Linked DNA regions of Diceros bicornis minor. The protein of the gene in region 3 purifies or fractionates together with the protein of the main gene of each other region. This does not show direct contact. Links are inferred from orthologs where the notes say so. Each region holds a gene or a part of one and is shown on either strand. Other genes may lie near its edges. The genes, in order: NEDD9, DOCK5 and CRK.

Region 1 (3,747 bases), on a different chromosome or scaffold from region 3:
TGATTCAGGCCAGCTCAACATTTAAAAATAAATGACATGGATCTGAATTTCAGAGAAGTGTTATGGGAAATTAAAACAAAACAGCAAAAGTCACGAGAGTGCAACACACAACATGAGCAGAGTGTGAAGACGAGAGGGGGCCAACAACAGTCCTTTCCTTGTCTTGGTGATGGAGCAGAAGCATCAAGCACCACTGGATCATTTGGGGAGTATCACCTATTCAAACTATCTCCCCTCTCTTCAACCCTCTATGTCCCCCAGTCATTTCCTAGGCACGAGGTGAGAAGTGGAGAAAAGAAGGAAAAAAGGAAATGATTGAGCTTATAATAGCATAATTTGCCACTAATAATAATAGCAAACTCTTGTATACTGCTTATTTATTTGTCCCAGGCACTCTCTGGGTGTTTTCATACACTAACTCACTTAATTCTCACAATAATCCTATGGTTATTCCCATTTTACAGATGAGGAAGCTGAGGCACAGAAAGATCAAAAGCATTTATTTGAAAGGTAGAGCCATAATTCACACCTGGGTATTGGCCTCAGAGTATATCCACTTGTTTGCTACTCAAAAGCACAGCTAGAAGAAGACTAGGGCTGTGAGGCTAAGTAACTTTCTAGTTCCCTTCCACATACTCAAATCTGAGCTTCCACACCACATTGTACACAGGAATTTTCCACGTGGGTAGTTACCCCCTAGCAGGGCGCTTGTCACAGTACAGGCTCAATAAATACTTGTCAAATGAAAGAATGTTTCATGTCAATTTACAGTGAAACTCTTTGGAACATATTGAGTCCATAAAACCACAAAATCCTGACTTGGTTGGCCTAAAATAGCCTAAATTTTTGCCTCAATGCAGCCTAGAAAGGAGCTTAAACCACTAAGGAAGTACATTGCACAGAATTTCATTGCAATAATAATGTGCAGATCACCTATCTTTCTCAAATTAGGAAATGGTGCAGAGTAGAACTATATTTCTTACCTGCCCCTAAACTGCAGATATCCGCAGTGTGTCAGGAGGTCTGACAGAGAACACAGAGAGGAAATGAACTGAGACAACATCACTTCAGAGCAACCGGAAGGAAAAACACACACATACCTACGCCTCTCACATTCTACGTGTGGTTGCTCAGTGGGGAAATGCTTACAGCTGCCTTTAGAAGCAAGCCCGGAGACTGCAGCAGGAAAGAAGCCTAATCGTGGGGCAGGACTGAGCTGCCACCTCCTGCCTGCCCACTCGGAGAGAGGGCAAGAACGCCAGGGATACCAGATGATCCACCAACAGTGGTGCTGCCCTGGGTGAGTTCTCAGACACTTGCTGTGGCCTGAGGGGAGGAACAGGGGAGACTCACTCAGACTCGGACTTCCTGAGTTGGTGTCAGACATCTGGTGGTATTCCCCACTGTTAACACCCCTTAACCGAAGCTGGGAGGGACTTAACATGCCCCAAAGGAGGAAGGATGGCTCTAGACCTCATTCAAGTTAACCTGGAGGTACTGGCTTTAAGGCAACTTAAAACCTACCTGATTCTATTTTTTTTTTTTTTTTTTTGTGAGGAAGATCAGCCCTGAGCTAACATCCGTGCTAATCCTCCTCTTTTTGCTGAGGAAGACCGGCTCTGAGCTAACATCTGTTGCCAATCCTCCTCCTTTTTTTTTCCCCCCAAAACCCCAATAGATAGTTGTATGTCATAGTTACACATCCTTCCAGTTGCTGTATGTGGGACGCAGCCTCAGCATGGCCGGAGAAGCGGTGCGTTGATGTGCGCCCGGGATCCGACCCCGGGCCGCCAGTAGCGGAGCACATGCACTTAACCGCTAAGCCAGGGGACTGGCCTCTGATTCTATTTTTAAAATCATCCTGGGTAGTGCTTCCTGGTGTGTAGAGTAGAGGCTCCTCCCCAATTCCTACCATCATCAGAGAGTTCTCCTGTGCTAAGCTGAGCTTTTACTCTCCTCAACTCTTTCAGTACTTTAAAGTGTGGGCTGCCACTCACACTTGATGGTAGATTAGAGTCATTGATAATATCATTTTCAGCCACTCTGGGAATGACTCCTGAGGGGCAAGAAGCAGCGATTGAGAACTGGCTTCAGTGTGTGTCCCAGCTCTGCAGAGAGCTGGTCATTAGCATCATCTCTAAGGGGCTGGGGACAGATTACACTGTGCTCTGCCTGTCCACATTGGGCCACCGCAACAGCTCCATCCTTCCTTTTCTCTATATTTATTAATTCGTTTAACTCATTCATTCATTCAATTGCCTTTTTCCCACAAGGGATTTGAGGCAACTCTTTTATCTTGCTGAAATTACTTCAAAATGAAGAACACATACAACTTGAAAGAGGGAGAGTCATTCTAAAAGGGTTTTCTGTTGTTTAAAGCTGGTGGAGATGGGCGAGCAGGCTTTTCCCTGTGCTGGTGATGAGAGGGGAGAGTGGGTGCCCCAGGCTTTTTAACTCCTGCTTGAGGAGCCTGTCCTTTCCCTTAGTGGGGAAGCTAGTTTCCCATCCAGAAGTGGGTGTGAAGAGCAATTGTCCTTGACAGAACCCTGGGAACCAGCCAAGCGGTTTTCCTCCTTGTTTCTGTTTCCTCCTGAGTTGGGTTATTTTCAAGGACATTCCTGTTCTAAGAACGGGGCAAAGTGGAGCTGTGGAAAGGAAAGAATATGAAATCAGTTTTGAGTTAGAGCTCCACCATTTCTCATTAATTAGTTCATTTATTTAACAACTATCTAGTGAGTATTCACTGCGTGGCAGCCACTTTTAAGTCAAAACTTACATAAGATGGAGCAAAACTGACGTTGCCCTGCCCCCAAAAAGCTTACGGTTGAAGGGAGAGGCAGACGTTAATGATTACATAAATATGATGAGGACCAGAACGTGTCGCGGGGGAACCTGATCTCATCTGGGAGTCAGGGAGGTTTCCATAAGGAAGGCAGATATGAGAACTGAAAGAGGTGTAGGAGTTCACAAGGCAAAGGGAACAGCCTATACCACACCCCGAGGTGGAAGGCCACAGAATTGTCCTGCAAAATTATAGCCAGTATGGCCAGAGGGAAGAGGGGGGTGGCTCAAGGTGAGCCTGAGGGACCAGGTTAAAGATGCTGCTTATTCTAAAAGTGTTGGAGAAGGTAGGGGTGTTGTGAACTGATCTGCATTTTTTTTTTTATTGAGGTAACATTGGTTTATAACATTATATAAATTTCAGATATACATCATTATATTTCAATTTCTGTGTAGACTACGTCATGTTCACCACCCAAAGACTAATTACCGCTGTACACACATGCCCTATTACCCCTTTCATGTTAAGGAATCCCTTTTGATACAATGTGGAGAATGGATGGGAGGAGGCACGCCTACAGACAGGGAGACTAGTTAGGTTGATGAAGTCAGCCAGGCAAGGATGTCTGTGGGAGTACAGACAAGACAAGGGTGGTAGGAGTGGAGATAGAATTAGACAAATTAAAGAGCCATTTAGAAAGGAAAATCAACAGGACTTGGTGGTGGACAGGAAAGGAAAACGAGGGGGAAGTGTCAAAGATGATCCTGTTTCCTGGTTTCGGCATCCAAATGGATATTGATGCTGCTTGCTGGTCACAGAGACTGGAAACGCTGGTGGAGACCAGGCCCAGGGTTAGTTCAGTTCTGGAGCTGATGATTTTGGAAGGCCTAGCAGACATGCAAAGGCAGACATTAGCCAGGCAGTTGTCATTGATCAACATCTGGATAGAGCTCAGAGCAGAGATC
Region 2 (3,747 bases), on a different chromosome or scaffold from region 3:
CAAACAAACAAAATAACCCTGCATTAAATCGTCACAGAAATTAGGTCAGAGCTAGAATGCTACCCCAACTCCAAGGACATGCAATGACTACTGAAGGCAGGCTCTATACCTGCTACACCCGGTGAGTGACAGGGATACAAAACCATAAGCTGAACCCGAGGATACGAGGAGAAGCAATGAAATAAGGTAGGCACACTGCAGGCATTGTGAGGAAGAGGCGGGAATGCCTGGGGAGGTCTGGTGAACACCAAACCTGAAGGAGGCACTGGCAGTGGATCTGAGCCCCGAGGACTGTCCCGAGCTGGACTGTGGGATGCAGAGGTGGGCGGGCACTCTGACAGGGAGCAAGAACAAGGGAGCAAAGTCCCAGAGGAGGGACTCTCCAGGCCTGTGGCCTATTGCACAAGAGCTAGAAGAGCAGTATCTGCGGGGGGGGGCGGTAAATGAAAGAAGCCAGGAGATAAGGTTGGTTGGTGAGGACACTTTGAACCAGATTATGGGAATCTTGAAAGTTGGGCTCAGTTACATCTTACCCTGCAGGCCAAGGAAGGCTTCAAATCAGGGAGGTGATATGAACAACAATGTGTTTTAGCAATAAACAATGGAGATATATCTCATCAGCTAATCTGTGCTAACAGTGGTCCTTCTGTCAAATCCAGATTAAGCAGAATATATTGTGTCTAATGAAACAAGTGTCCAAAATTATATCCTGGGGCAATTTTGCTAGCACCTATGCCCTGGAAATGCAATTCAAATACTTTTCTTGATGGAAGATAAAAAACATGGTAACCTGACTCCAGAACAGGAAAAAAAAAAAAATCAAAAAGAGAACATATCATACTTGCTTCTATGACTATGGCAATAAAAACCACATTTGGGAGATCTGTTTGCATCACCTACACTGAAGTCATACTGGTTTTGGAAATAGCTTTTATCCTCTTAAACAAAATCAGAATTGATAACTTTCTTAAAGTAGTAATTAATGATTAGGCGTTGCTAAACACGCTTTAATTTAGTAAATACTAGATAACATTCAAAAATAAAGAAATTGAGTCCATCTATTTTAGAGCATTTCACTTCCAAAACCACTGGCTACTTACTGACTGGCACCTGAGTAGGAGTCCCCGTCTGAAGCGTCATGACCAAATCATGACGGGGTGGTCTGGGGCAGGAGAAACACCACCTACCTGTTTCTGAGTTGTAGCCATACCAGAGTGCAAGGATTCTAACAGAAATTTAAGGGGAAAAAAGTTTTTGGAATAGAGGGAAAACAAGCAATTATATATCTAATTACATACACACAAACATATATATAAAGGATCTCAATCTAAGAGTAATATAGTAAATATGAGAGAGTTTGTTTCTTTAACTGACTCGGGGCTACAGAGTTGAAGAGCACCAGGGACGTTGAGTATCCGTGAAACTGACCTCGCCGTCAGAAAGCTCAGAACAGGTGCTGGGACGGTTCCCTCCCTAGTAACCAGAGAGGTGAGGAGAAATGGGGGCGGGGCAGGGAGGGAAGTGAAAGATTAAGTTACAAACAGGCCAAATGAATGAACCTAAGAGGAAGTGATAAAATTCTCAACACACACAACTGCGTTTACACCAGGGAATCGCTCCGAAGTCGAACTGCCACTGTAATCGCCCCGCGAACAGCAGCGTTCCCACATTTCAGCAACCTCACTCCTTGGTAGGAAGAAGGACCACGGCTTTTCACCTGGGTCAAAACCCCACACAGCCACCGTTCCGGGGCCAAACCAACAGCACTGTAATCCCTCCGCACGACAGGGACTCTCTAGCACCGCTGTTACGAATGCGAAGTGCCGGGCGCGGGATCTGTCACAGTGTTCTTAATAAAATGCCCTCGTCTTATCCCACGACGAAACTCGGGATTCAGAAGGCAGTCCTCACCCCTCTCCATATACGCTCCGTTAGGAGATGAGCGTCTGCCCCATCGGCCCCAGGGGCAGCCACCCTCGTTCCCATGCCACACACTTCCTGTCTCTTCCATCACCTCCCCACCACAACTTTAGTCTCCCATTCAGTTTACAACTGTTATCTGGATCCCAGGCCCTGGGAGGAAACGAGGGGGCGGAGGGCGGCTTTCTACCCCCAACTCCTCACTCGGGGCTTCAGAGACAACCTAAGAAGAGGGAAAGCAGAAAGCACTGGGGCAGCGAACACCACTGGCATTCCTCCGACCTGGGCTGGCTACAAACTACTGAATGAAACCATACGGATGGGGAGGAGGGAGGCGAGCACCAGAGTTGGGTGCCCCAAATGCATAAGAGGCGAGCACCGTCGCTTTTGACGTTTCTCCTATGCAAAGTGCTGGAGCTTTGGATTCGGGAGGATTACCTGTCCCGGAGCCCAGCTGCACTTCTAGCCACTCGGATTTCCCAAACTCAGAATGACTTCCCCCACGGGGCTCCAGGAAAGGACTCCGACTCCCACCCGCCCCCAGAACTGCTGCAGCGGGAGCCGAACCCCCGCCTCGGGCAGCGCGCGCGCCGAGTGGCCCGGCGTCCGCCGCCCAACTTTGCGCAAGGCAGGGCGGCTCCCGCGAAGTTCCCGGCGGCCGGGTCGGGGGCGGGGTGGGGCGAGCACTCACCAACCCCGTACTTCTGCCTCTTGGTCGGGATCCAGCGGGCCATGGCGGCCACCTCAGCCCGCGGCGGCGGCGGCTGCAGCGGCTACAGCTCCTGGGGCGCCGGCCGCCGCCGCGCCGCGCTCCTGCGCGCCCCGGGCTCCTCCGCCATGTTCCGGCAAACTTCGCCCGACCCCGCGAGCCGGCGCCCCGCCGCGCCGCCCGCGTCCGCACGGGATCCGCTCCGGCCCCGGCCTCGGCCCGCGGTCACCTGCTGGGCCGGGCGGCCGCGCCGCTGTGCGCGCCCCTCCCGGCGCCGCCCCGGCCCCTCCCGCCGGCCGCGCCCTCCGCCCGCCGGGGCCGCCTCCGCGCCCGACCCGCGGGCGCCCGGCCTCCCGCCCGCTCCGGCGCTCCGCGCTCTCGCCGGCCCGGGCGGGCGCGGGCCCCGCCTTGCGCGCTTCCCAGGAGCAGCTTCCCAGTGCAGACTGGGGTACGGTTTTTTCCTTGTGTTTTGCTTTTTCCCCACCCGGATTAAACCCCCGAGACTGGATCCCGTGGGGCGGGTTCCCCCCGCGGGCGGCCCGAGGGCTGCGCCGGAGGCGCTGGGCACACCCAGGCTGGGCGGCCCGGCAGCGGGTGGGCGCGGGGTGCGGGGTCGGCTCCCACTGCGCGCGCCGCAGCTCCTGTGGGAACTAGTATGAGTTGATGAGTTGCTTCTCGCCCCCGGGGCACCCCCAGTGCCTGGCACTCAGCGGGCGCTCCGTAAATATTTGCTGAATGAATGAGCAGTTGACTCCTGCGTTCACTCTCTAGAGCTTTAACTGACACCGTGAGAGCCGGAAGCCGGACTCCGGGGCAGACATGATCTCCTGTGGCCACCGTTTATCGCCTTCAAAGCAGGCGCATTTGTCTTCTGGTAAATAGAGAACTGATGCAGGGGAGACGGCCTCCTCAGAAGTATCAAATACTTTCCTAGCAGAGCCTCTGTGGGAAAAAATTATTCTAACTTGGAAATCCTGTATCCCCAAAACACCCGGAGGAGTCCCTGGCTGAAGCAATTCAAACCTTCATGCTCAAGGGAAAAGTCCGCCCCAAGACGTCCCGCTTCCAACAGACCAGCATCCCTGCGGAGAAGGGGACCTGGCACATCCACGTCTTTT
Region 3 (3,747 bases):
CCTTTCCTTTTGGTCTTTAAATAGAACCTGAGACCCTAGGACACAGACAAAAGCACTGAGTCCTCCATGTGCACTGCTGAGATCTCAAAAGGAAACTGGCTTTGACAGAAAAGAGTACAGTGTAACAGTGTCAGCACTCAGGTCAGAATTCCTAGGTTCAAATTCTGGCTCTGTCATTTACTAGTTGTGTGACCTTGGGCAAGTTACTGAATCTCTCTCACTTTCCTCATCTATAAAATGGAAATATTTTAATAAATGGAGATCATAGTACTTTCCTCACTAGATTGTTACAGACAGTAAATGAGATAAGGCACATAAAGCACTCAGCAAAGTACCTGGCACAGAATAACCAGTCAATAAATGTTAGCTATTAATATTGTATATGCCTTTCTAAAATTCAAGAAAGTCCTCTGTGTGATTTCAAAAGGAAAAGAGCTTCATGTAGGAGGGGTAGAATAAAGATTAAGTTATCTTGATAAAGACAGCAACTGGATCCTATGTGAAAAATAGGGTACACAGCACAAAGAATTACCACAATGCCCATGAACTTTCCACACCCCATCCACAAACTTTGGCAATCTTCACCTTCTCTCTTGGGCCAAGGATCTGAACTCATATCTGCTATGAAAAGGTGGAGCTCAATACCAAAGTAAGTGCTGCGATATAAAGTCATAATGCCAACATGTGGAGAAAGCTCAAACAAACCTGCCTACTGCCATTTCCAAATTTTGCAACCAACAGAACACATACACATACAGAAGGTTGAGAACTGAGCTTCGGTGACAGTTTGCCATCATGTCACTAAACTATAATGCAAAACCCTAGATACTGTGCAGGTTGTAAACAGCAGAAAATATCTGGTTTAGGGCAAATATATGTTACATCAATATTATCATCTCCTGTCATAATGCTATTAAACCTACCAGACTGAGAAAGACCTAGGACAATTTGTGGACTAAAGATCCCACATTCTTTTTAAAAATTGGCAAGGGTTAACAACAAAGAGACTGATTATCCTGTCCCCCCATTTCTGGCCAGAGTGAATAAACCTAAATTAGGACTATGCTAAAAGGGCATGTCTGCAAAGGCTGGCTCAGAAGCCTCCTAATTCACACGAGATTGGCTTGGATCTAGACTGGGCTGGTGAGGAGGAAACTGCTTCAACCCGGGAACAGTGAGAAGACACCAGAACTCCTGTGCTGTTAGACAGGTAACGACAACCTCAGAATTACCGTGTCCCTCACAAATCTCAAGTACTATGTGCAAAAATCTCCTTAACATTTCCCAAACACCTCCAACGGCATGGGTAAGAGAGTCATACCTCAATGATGCTTGGCAAGAAACATCCAGTGCAGATAATTTAAATTCTCAGAGAATCAGCTTGGTGGGGTCTGTTCCCAATACCTAGCAAGACTCAGGCCACAGCCCCAACTTACTGAGCACGGAGACGCCCTAAAGTAGAAGACTGACAATGTTTAAGTCCAAGGAAAAATGAAGTTCCATTCCCTGCCAGGGAAGGGATTGTTTCCACTGCCTTATTTCTGGTTTATTTCCTGAAAAAAATCTTTCCTCCGTTAAACACTCTGAAAACTACAACCCCCTAATTGTGGAGGACAGTCTCTGGACACTAAAATCTCTGTGACACGGTCAGCTGGGCGTCACCTTACTGTGGGCTGGTCGTGGAGGGCTTTCTTCTATCACCAAGGCACTCAGCTCACCACCTTCGTCCTCCGCGGGGGAAGAGGACGGTAAAAGTATTTTGGAAAAATGCCCAAGAAAGGAAAAAGCTGACCGGTTTCCTGAAGGTGTCTCCATCCCTCCGGGCCAGTATGTGGTGACTTCCTACCAAAGGCCACCAGGGGAGTATAGCCAAACCCGGCTCTCCAACACTGCAGGAAATGTTTCAAGCCTAAAAAGCCACTTGCAAGATTATCGGACTCATTCTGGGCACCGCTGCCAAGCGATGCCCCCGCAGTGCCAACATCCCCCTCAGTTCTTTGTCCCCACGTTGCCCGGCTCTGCCCTTGTGCCTGGCCCAGGCGCTAGCCCCACCCTGGGACCGAGGCAGTTCCCCTTCCCCTGGGCTGTCCTCCCAAGTCACACCCAGAGAAGGCCTGGGTCAGCGGCTCCTCCTCCCCCACGCACTCCCGCTCGTCGGTGGGAATGAGCCCCGGCAGCAGGCTGCCCCCTGCCATGGTCACTCCAGCCCTCTGCCCACGTCCCTCGTGAGGGTCAGCTCGCGAGGAGCAGCCGGCCAGGCTGGGGAGTTCCGCGGCCCTCACCCCCGCCCGGGGCCTCCCGTCCCGTCCGTCCCTCACCGGGCGGAGGCTGGGCGGGCGACGGCGGCACCGGTGGGCGCGGGCCGCTGCTGTTAATGATGTAGTGGGAGACGCGCGAGTTCTCCGAGACGCTGAGCACATAGTCCCCGGGGCTGGTGCTCGAGTCCCGCACCAGGAACACCCCGTGCCGCTGGCCCTGCAACAGCGCCACCGCCTCCTGCCGGCTCAACCGTCCCCAGTACCAGCTACTCCGCTCCTCTGAGTCGAAGTTGCCCGCCATGGCCGCCTCCGCGCCTACACGTTGGGCCGCCGCCGCCCCGCGCGCCCCTCCAGCCCCGGCGCCCGCCGCCCAGCGGACCGGCTCCGCTCTCAGCCTCACAGCAGCGCCCGAAATGGCGGCGGCGGCCGCGGGCCTTCCCCACCGGAAATGACGCGCTCCCTGCCCCCGGGAGGACGCCGGGAAGGGGACCGCCGCCCGCCATTGGGAGAAGGGCGAGGGACCGCTTGCTTTCTCACTGCGCATGCGGCCTCATGGGCGTCGCCGCCTGGCAGGGACTGGGACTGCAGAGGATGGAGAGGTGGAGTCCAGGGCCGAGAGGCGGGGCCTCAGCCGGCAGTCCGCGGAGGTTTGTATTCGCCCGGTTGCCCACGCGGTTCTTAGCTCCGCCAGGCTTCGAGATCCTGGAAGGCCCAGAACTTCTAGGCAGCGACTCCGACACAGAATTAGAGTAGCAAAGATGACATGGCCTCAGGGCCCGAGCTCCCTGAGACGGTCTTTTTTCTGATGATTCCTCCAGCTTCTCCCCAGGCCGGCTCAAGTTCTTGTTTTCATTGATTCATTCAGCAAACAGTTACTGACACCACATTTGCCCTGCGGGTGCAAAGGTGATCAAGGCTGGATCCTTCCCTCACCGCCTTCTCAGACCAGTGGGAGGAACCAGGAAACAGCCAAAGACAAAGGAATGCCAAGTGCTATGACAGGGAACGGACTAGGGACTCCAGGAACACAGAGCAGGGCCCCCTAATCCAGCCTGTAGAGCGATCCAAGAGGGCTTCCCACAGGAGGTGGCTTGAGCTGAATGTTGAACGGCAAGTGGGGAAGGGCATTCAAGACAAAGGGAACAGAGTATGCCAAGCCAGAAGTATGGAGGCTCTACTGAGGCTCTCAAGTCATCTGCCCAGATTCTTCTAAACCGTAATTGTGGCCATGGGTGTGCTCTACACTCCTTGCCATCATAATCATCTCTATCTCTGTATCCCATACCTATATCTGTATTCCTGTGAACAACCTGCTCACTGGTGCTCTATAGTCTTGCTGCCCCTAATTGCATTGCACATCTGCCAGTGTGAACTTTCTAAATTACAACTCTGAGTCTGTGGCTACCCTGTGTAAAACTTTTAACAGTCTCCAGATGTTAAAACTCTCGGTTTAGGACCAGCCTCGTGGCCTAGTGGTTAAAGTTCCATA

Evidence for each region.
Region 1: the proteins of CRK (region 3) and NEDD9 purify together in Homo sapiens (affinity purification with western blotting; 3 studies listed by BioGRID). This does not show direct contact. The link is inferred for Diceros bicornis minor from reciprocal best matches to the Homo sapiens genes CRK and NEDD9.
Region 2: the proteins of CRK (region 3) and DOCK5 purify together in Homo sapiens (affinity purification with mass spectrometry; 3 studies listed by BioGRID and IntAct, with this or other methods). This does not show direct contact. The link is inferred for Diceros bicornis minor from reciprocal best matches to the Homo sapiens genes CRK and DOCK5.

The regions. Positions count from the first base shown.
Region 1 is NC_080753.1:55,284,657-55,288,403, forward strand, and holds the start of NEDD9 (enhancer of filamentation 1), read left to right. Parts: upstream 1-1,129; 5' UTR 1,130-1,300; intron 1,301-3,747. UniProt on the Homo sapiens protein: Scaffolding protein which plays a central coordinating role for tyrosine-kinase-based signaling related to cell adhesion. As a focal adhesion protein, plays a role in embryonic fibroblast migration.
Region 2 is NC_080750.1:68,673,427-68,677,173, forward strand, and holds the start of DOCK5 (dedicator of cytokinesis protein 5), read right to left. Parts: upstream 2,830-3,747; 5' UTR 2,655-2,829; coding exon 2,612-2,654; intron 1-2,611. UniProt on the Homo sapiens protein: Guanine nucleotide exchange factor (GEF) for Rho and Rac. GEF proteins activate small GTPases by exchanging bound GDP for free GTP. Along with DOCK1, mediates CRK/CRKL regulation of epithelial and endothelial cell spreading and migration on type IV collagen.
Region 3 is NC_080757.1:16,260,440-16,264,186, reverse strand, and holds the start of CRK (adapter molecule crk), read right to left. Parts: upstream 2,656-3,747; 5' UTR 2,560-2,655; coding exon 2,319-2,559; intron 1-2,318. UniProt on the Homo sapiens protein: Involved in cell branching and adhesion mediated by BCAR1-CRK-RAPGEF1 signaling and activation of RAP1.